Macaca mulatta: one gene and its partner. The protein of the gene in region 1 purifies or fractionates together with the protein of each later gene. This does not show direct contact. Links are inferred from orthologs where the notes say so. Each region holds a gene or a part of one and is shown on either strand. Other genes may lie near its edges.

What was found. The genes of interacting proteins can lie anywhere in the genome.
Region 2: the proteins of CLTB (region 1) and CLTCL1 purify together in Homo sapiens (affinity purification with mass spectrometry; 3 studies listed by BioGRID and IntAct, with this or other methods). This does not show direct contact. The link is inferred for Macaca mulatta from reciprocal best matches to the Homo sapiens genes CLTB and CLTCL1.

Annotation. Positions count from the first base shown.
Region 1 is NC_133411.1:185,349,540-185,353,292, forward strand, and holds the start of CLTB (clathrin light chain B), read right to left. Parts: upstream 2,321-3,753; 5' UTR 2,146-2,320; coding exon 1,959-2,145; intron 1-1,958. UniProt on the Homo sapiens protein: Clathrin is the major protein of the polyhedral coat of coated pits and vesicles.
Region 2 is NC_133415.1:33,472,776-33,476,428, reverse strand, and holds part of CLTCL1 (clathrin heavy chain 2), read right to left. Parts: intron 3,388-3,653; coding exon 3,190-3,387; intron 2,305-3,189; coding exon 2,104-2,304; intron 2,010-2,103; coding exon 1,857-2,009; intron 1,297-1,856; coding exon 1,174-1,296; intron 1-1,173. UniProt on the Homo sapiens protein: Clathrin is the major protein of the polyhedral coat of coated pits and vesicles. Two different adapter protein complexes link the clathrin lattice either to the plasma membrane or to the trans-Golgi network.

The DNA of each region.
Region 1 (3,753 bases):
TCACGGACTCAAGCGATGCTCCTGGCTCAGCCTTCCCGAGTAGCTGGAACTACAACTACAGCTACATGTCACCACGCCTGGCTAATTTTCGTATGTTTTGTAGAGATGGGGTTTCACCATGTTGCCCAGGCTCCACAGCATTTGAAAGAGAATGGAGCCCAGAGTTGGGAGGTGTGGGATCAAGCCCTAGATCGGTCACTCCTGGCTGTGTGACTCTGGGCAAGATACTCAGATTCTCTGGGCCACCAGTTTCTTGCATGTTACAAAAGCCTGGTTACATTTCTCATATCAAGGAGATACAGAGATGCTTCAAACTCCTCAGCCACAGGAACTGTCTTATTCATTTCTGTATCCCTAGTGTCCTGGCACACAGTAGGTGCTCAGCAAATGTTGAATGAATACACACATGACTGTGAAGAGCCTTGTAAACACCATTAACCAAAATATATCTATATGTATATATGTCAGCACTATTACAACAGGTCCATAAACCACTCCAAAATGACATTAACAGGAAGTAAAACCTGTTTTGGATGCACCCATGAAAGTGATGTCTACTTTTTTTGTTGTTGTTTCTTGAGACGGAGTCTCGCTCTGTCACCCAGGCTGGAGTGCAGTGGCGCGATCTCAGCTCACTGCAAGTTCTGCCTCCCGGGTTCACGCCATTCTCCTGCCTCAGCCTCCCAAGTAGCTGGGACTACAAGCACCTGCCACCACGCCCAGCTAATTTTTTGTATTTTCAGTAGAGATGGGGTTTCACTGTGTTAGGCAGGACGGTCTCGATCTCCTGACCTCATGATCCACCCGCCTTGGACTCCCAAACTGCTGGGATTACAGGTGAGAGCCACCGCGCCCGGCTGATATCTACTTTTTTACTAAATATTTCACAAAATCATTCTTGCTAGCCAGAACCAGGGCAGGAACATCATTGATAAAGATGATCTCTCAGGGACCAGGCATGAACTCTGAAGTCTGAAGCCAATCACAGTAAATCATGATAGCTCCGGACCACGTTTGGAAAACCATTAAGTCGACAACTACAAAACCCTGAAGGGCCCTACCACATCTGACTGATGCCTCTTTGCGGCCCACACTCCGGTGTCTAACTCAGAGCCAGACACTTGGAAGGCAGTGTGGTCAGGTGGAGAGGGCTTCGAGTCTGACAGAAACAGGTTTAAATTCACGGCCAGGTGTGGTGGCTTACACCTGTAATCCCAACACTTTAGGAGGAAGATGTGGGAGGATCGCTTGAGCCCAGGAGTTCAAGACCAGCCTGGGCAACACAACAAGACCCTATCTCAAAAAAAGGAAAAGAAAAAATATATAAAAAATAAAAAGAATCAGGTTTAAATTCTTGATCTGCCACTTATTAGTTATTTCAATAGCATACCCCTTTGAGTCTCAGTTTTACCATCTCTGAAATGGGTTCAGTAACGTGTATGAAGTGATTAAATGTAACCAAGGCGCTTAGCCCAGCGACTGCCGAATGGCAGGTGGTCACGGGGGAAGGTTAGTGACTTCCTGGAGCACCCAGGGTCCTCTTTTTTCCCAGCTGCAGGAGAGAGCTAAGCCTGAGGGGCCAGGAGGGCTGTGTTCTGCCCACACCTGCACACTTAGCTGGGAGCCTGGGACAGCCAGGCTATTAGAAGGCTCAGGAGGGACTCTCAAAACTGAGCTGGGGTTGGATTCCAGAGCCGGGCAGCGGGGAAGCTGGCCTGGGGATGAAATGTCATGACCGAATTCCTGTCCCGGGAGTCACCGGATCCACAGCCCCAGGGGAGGCCTCATCCCCAGCTCGGAAGTGCTACATGGAGAGCTCCAAGAAGATTCTTCCCCACGTCCCCCAGCTCCTGCCCCGGCTGGCCTAGAGCAGGCTCTCTACCCTGTGCCGCTGGGCCCCGGCCGGGGTCCCCCGGGTGCGCGCCCTGAGCCCCGCTCCAGGCCCCGCGCTGACTCACCCCCACTCGTGGGGCCCAGCTGCGCGGGGGCCGCATGGCTGCCGGCAGATGCCCCGAAGCCCTCGTCGTTCTCTATGCCTGCAATCTCGCTCTCCTGCTGGGCCAGGAAGGCGGCCGCCGGGTCCTCCTCCGCCGCCTCCGGGGCCCCGCTCTCCGACGACGAGAAGAAGCCAAAGTCATCAGCCATTTTCCCCGCGCCTCTGCCGGAGCCTCCGCTGCGCTCGGCTCTGCCCGCGCCTGCCCCGCGCTGCGTCCGGCGGCCGCGACGCTGTCACCCGAGCCGCGGGGAGCCGGCTTCGGCGGGGACGAGCTTGGCGCGGACCGCACTTCCTCTCCGCCACCGGGCCCGGCTGGCTGTCACTGCGGTGCGGGCGCCGCGGCGGGAGGAGCGGAGCCGGAATGCGGTGACGTCAGCGCGGGGGCGGGGCCGCAGCCGCAGGGCCGGGAGGTCGCCGAGCAGCGGCCGCAGGAGGGCGCCTAAGGACTGGGCGCAGCGCTGGGCCCGGGACCCGCGCGGCGCTTCCCTCTCTCCGCAGCGGCGCCCAGCTGCTCGTGTCCAGGACACCGCGGCGAGGCACAGCTCCCGCCCGGTCTGAAGGCGAAGCGCAGGGCACAAAGTGGCCGTTCTGTGCACTGGGCCGCGACAGGAGGCCAGCTCTGGCCTCGGGAGCGCAGACCTGGCTCCTGATTCATTCTGCAAAAGTTTCTTCTCCTAAGCTGGGGTGTCATGCACCTCATTCTATGAGCCTCCGCCTCTGTAAGAGGAGGAAAATTGAGGCTGGGAAAGGCTCCCCCGCACCTTTTCATGCAAGTCCAGGTCCTTTCCCACTAGGCCGTGTTGTTTTGTGCATTTTTTGTGTGTATGTCCCTTGAGGAGGCTTCAGTTCATACGACCAGAGTTTGAATGGCCCGGCTGGACCCCTTAAATGTCCTTTAGGTATGAACTAGCCCGAGAAAGGCAGACCTGGTTTATCCAGACACCCTGCCACTCTCCGCCGCTGCCCGCTGCCCTCCGTGAACAGGCTCTGAATGCCTCCTCCCTGCCTGCGCTTTGCCAAGCACCAGGACAGCAACGTTTTATAAAATCCAGCCATGGCCATGCGGAAATTACAATCCAGTGAGACCAACAGACGGCAAATGGTATGTCAAGGCTCTGTGTGTGAGGCGCTGTGACATTTAAACACGGGGTACAGGGAGACGATGCAAAGAAACACCATGGGATTTGGGCTGTCTGCTATTTCTAATGTGGGACTTGAAGGGCTACTATGAAATATGGACTGGAAGAGAGAAAGGAAAGACGTGCCCCCACACTGGGGGTAGAAGTGGAGTTGGGGTGAAGGGAACTTCCAGGTTTTTTTGTTTTTTTCTTTTTAATTTTTTTATTTAGAGACAGAGCCTCGCTATATTAACTGGGCTGGTCTTGAACTGCTGGCCTCAAGGGATCCTCCTGCCTTGGTCTCCCAAAGCACTGGGATTACAGGTGTGAGCCACCAAGCCCAGCTGGAACTTTCAATTTAATTGGTAACACCTTGAGAACCTTTTGATGTTACTGGTTTTTTGAGGTTTTTTTAAAAATTGTTTTATTTAATTAAATTAATGTATTTATTTATTGCTGTCTATTTGCATGAGTTTTTGTTGTTGGTATTTGTTTTTTGTTTTGAGGCAGGATCTTACTCTTGCCCAGGTTAGAGTGTAGTGGCACGATTATAGCTCACTACAGCCTCAACTCCTGGGCTTAAGTGATCCTCTCATCCTCAGACTTCCAAAGAGCTGGAATTACAGGCATGAGCTTTTT
Region 2 (3,653 bases), on another chromosome or scaffold:
TGCAGCCTCAACCTTCAAGGCTCAAGCGATCCTCCCATCTCGGCCTCCTGAGTAGCTGGGACCACAGGTGTGCACCACCACGCCTGGCTAAGTTTTAAAAATTTTTTGGTAGAGATGGGGTCTCATTATGTTGCCCAGGCTCCCTCTCATATAGCTAGAGCTACGCTACTGATTCTGTCTCTGCAGAATCTTGACTAACAAAGCAGCTGATACTTGATATTTAACCCATATATATCATTATATTATTGGGGCACAACTGGGAAAATGCAAACATTTACTTAGACAATTATTAAAGTTAAATTGATGTTAATTTAAATAATTAATATGCCTCACTAAGATGTGAAATATAGGAATAAATTTAGTAATTGTTTTTGAAGGACAGCTTTACAGGAAAATAAAAAAGAACTTAGTAATTGTAGAAGTTCTCATAAAGTATGAGAAGTTTATATTTTAAACAACTTTAAAATATGAACTAGAAACAAGATGTGAACTGGAAATTTCTTTCCTATTGAAAGCTAAGTAAATTTGTCTCAAATCTCTTATTCATGTTCTCCAAAATATCTGCAAATTCCCAGACATATAAACACATATAACTGCACTTATTATTTCTAAACAGTTGTTGGCCCTGATGCCTTGCTTCAAGCTTTGTTACACATCTATATATCATCAGAGCTCCTTGTACCAATTGACTGAAAGTGACTTGTCATGTGTTTACATCTAAATTCTAAGTAGGTTACACTAAAAAACAGGCTGATGCTCACGTAGATCCAGGTCAGTCAGACACCCACAGGATGAACATTTCGGGGATGCAACAGCACTAGCTCCTGGTGCTCAGGCCAATGGTCAGGGAGAGACAATGATGTGGTAACTGGGGTGGGGAGAGGGATGGAGGGCTGGATCCTAAATGACATCCTCACACCCTACACCATCACCACCCAAAGACACAAACCCACGCAAACATTCTCTAAAGTACTTCAAAACAAAAGAAGCAATGAGTACTCACATAGTAAAGACTAGAAGACAAACTCCCCAAGTACACTAGATTTTTTAAAACTGGAAGATTAATAGCAGATGAAGAAAAGCATTGAGACAAGTTAACAGGAAATGAATAAAGGAATCTTCTAGATGGCTCTAAAAAGCCACAAAAAGTTGTCCAAAACTGCCTATGCTCACCTGGTTAATGTCAGCCAGTGGCTCCTCGTCCTGCACTAGCATTTGAGAAAACTGCAGGCCCTGTTCTGGACTGATCTTCATTACACCCCTCAGCAGAAAGATCCAGTCTGGGGTGTACCCAACCTAGAAGCAAGGGAGCACCAATCAGGAAAATCAATGAAAAACCCTGGGCATTAGAAAAGGAAGTTATCTATCCTTTGTTTTAAACTCATGTTAACAAAGAAATGAGCAGCAACATTATCATTTGTAGGTACCACCTTCTGCCAAACACAATATCCAATTAAATAAATTGATTTCATGTCCATGGAAGGCACAATTAACTATACAAACAGCCCAGACCACAAATAAGTTCCCTGATCTGTGTGCAAACACAGCCTGCCAGTGAGCACACAGGGACAAGATCTGGAAGTCTGCCAAAATATCAAATTAACATACAGAAGGAAGAGAGGGAGAGAAAAAACAAGATAAAGCTCCCAAATAAAAAGAAGATGGAAGGACTGGAAAACTAAGGAAAATAAAAAACTGAAGAAAATGCAATATGATCAATATCAATAAAGATCCTAATAGCAACACTGCCAACTCTCACACCAGAGGACTTATAAAGAAGGGTATTTTATAAACTTTAAATCAGCAACCACTCAACCACATGTTGAGTGGGATGCAGATGGTTCAACACACGTTACCTTTTTGGCATAGAGCACAATTTTCTGGAATTGGCCTGTTTCTGCAAAACACTGGATCACTTTGCTTGGCACGTTTGCCCGAAGGTACACACTCAGAGCGAGCATGGGGTCAGTGGTTTTGACCAAGTCTCCGAGCTCCTCTGAGCACTCCAGCTGTGGTACGCCAAGGGACAAGGCAAAGTTAGGAGGTGGGCAGGGAGCCTGGACCAAGCTGTGCGGGGGGCTACCATCTCACAAGTGTTTCTACCTTATCTTCTTTCAGCCACTTCTCTAGGAGTTGCTTACGCCCCTGCTGAAGAACCAGATGGCAAAGTTCTAGGGATTCAAGTTTATTGAGCTGACCCTGGTCGAGCAGGATTCCAAAGTACTGCAGCAATGGAGAAGCCTGGCCAGGCTGAGCGGGTATACTCTGGAATTTCTGGACCGTCTCTCTGGTACGCAGGATTCCCTAGTAATAAATGGAAAAATAGGTCATTGTGTTGTAATCACGGGGGATCCCTTCACTCAACTTGCTTCTATGTAAAAACAAAAATCTGCCAGTGGAAATTCCACACTGCTCTGTCATGGACAAAATGTCCTCTACTAAGGCAACCGCTTCTATCTTCAATAAGAACCATAAATATGGGGGATCTAGGTCCTCCAGGTGGCTTCACACTTAGGGCCTTACTTCTCCCCCAGCATGCTGCAGTGAGAATTCAGCCTCTCAATCAGTCTTGTAGTAGTGAAGTTCTGCTATCATTATATTCTAATTCAAAATACTCACATTCACAGATGAAGGCTAGAAATGGTTTGTTCATAACCACCCCTTGAAAGACAAGAAAAATTCTTTCAAGGACCAGCAACTTGAAAGTCTTTATCTACTCAGGAGCAGATCCAGTCTCTGAACAATTTATCCAAATGAAATAAACTAAAGAAAAAGCCTTATGCAGAAATGCTATATTCTGAAAGAGTGGAGGAAGTCCAGAGCAGGACTATTGCTAAATAAAACAGGGATCAACCACTTGGTGTATTGTACAGTTGCATATTTGACAACCAGGCAGCAAGAGTGGAAAATTCTGAGTTGCGAAAATGTGAAACTGTACCCAAGCCATTGGATGAGAGGTATGTATGCACACAAAGTGGGAGACAGGAAGAAGTGCTGATGCAGCAAGAGTGTGCTTTTTGTTTACTTCCCTTACTGTTAAGCCATTGGTGCAAAAATTTTAAACTAAAAACTCCTAACATAACACGAATAGACTGCAATACCAGTAGTGAAATGCTTTTATGACTTATTTTCCTCTCAAGGTTGGTTCTTAACACTCAGAACACTTGAACAGTATTCAAGGTTTATCACCTTTGGTGCAGATGCTGCAACTTTGGCGGCTTCAGCATAGCTGCCCTGTGCAAAGAGGGTACTGAATTTTCTCGCAAACAACTTCTCTGCCCCAGCCAGGTTACTACGAATGGCCAAACGCAGACTAAGGTCTGGATTCTGAAGCACGTTGGTTGCATAATTCACAATATTATCTTCCTCAACACAAACTGACAGCACCTGTAAGGACCCGACAAGTGAGAGCGGCCCGGCCTAGAAGAGTGCTCTACCATCCCTCAGCCATGTTCCCCTCTACCATCCCTCGGCCATGTTCCCTCTACCATCCCTCGGCCATGTTCCCTCTACCATCCCTCGGCCATGTTCCTTCTACCATCCCTCTGTCATGTTCCCCTCTACCATCCCTCTGTCATGTTCCCTCTACCATCCCTCTGTCATGTTCCCCTCTACCATCCCTCTGTCATGTTCCCTCTACCATCCCTCTGTCA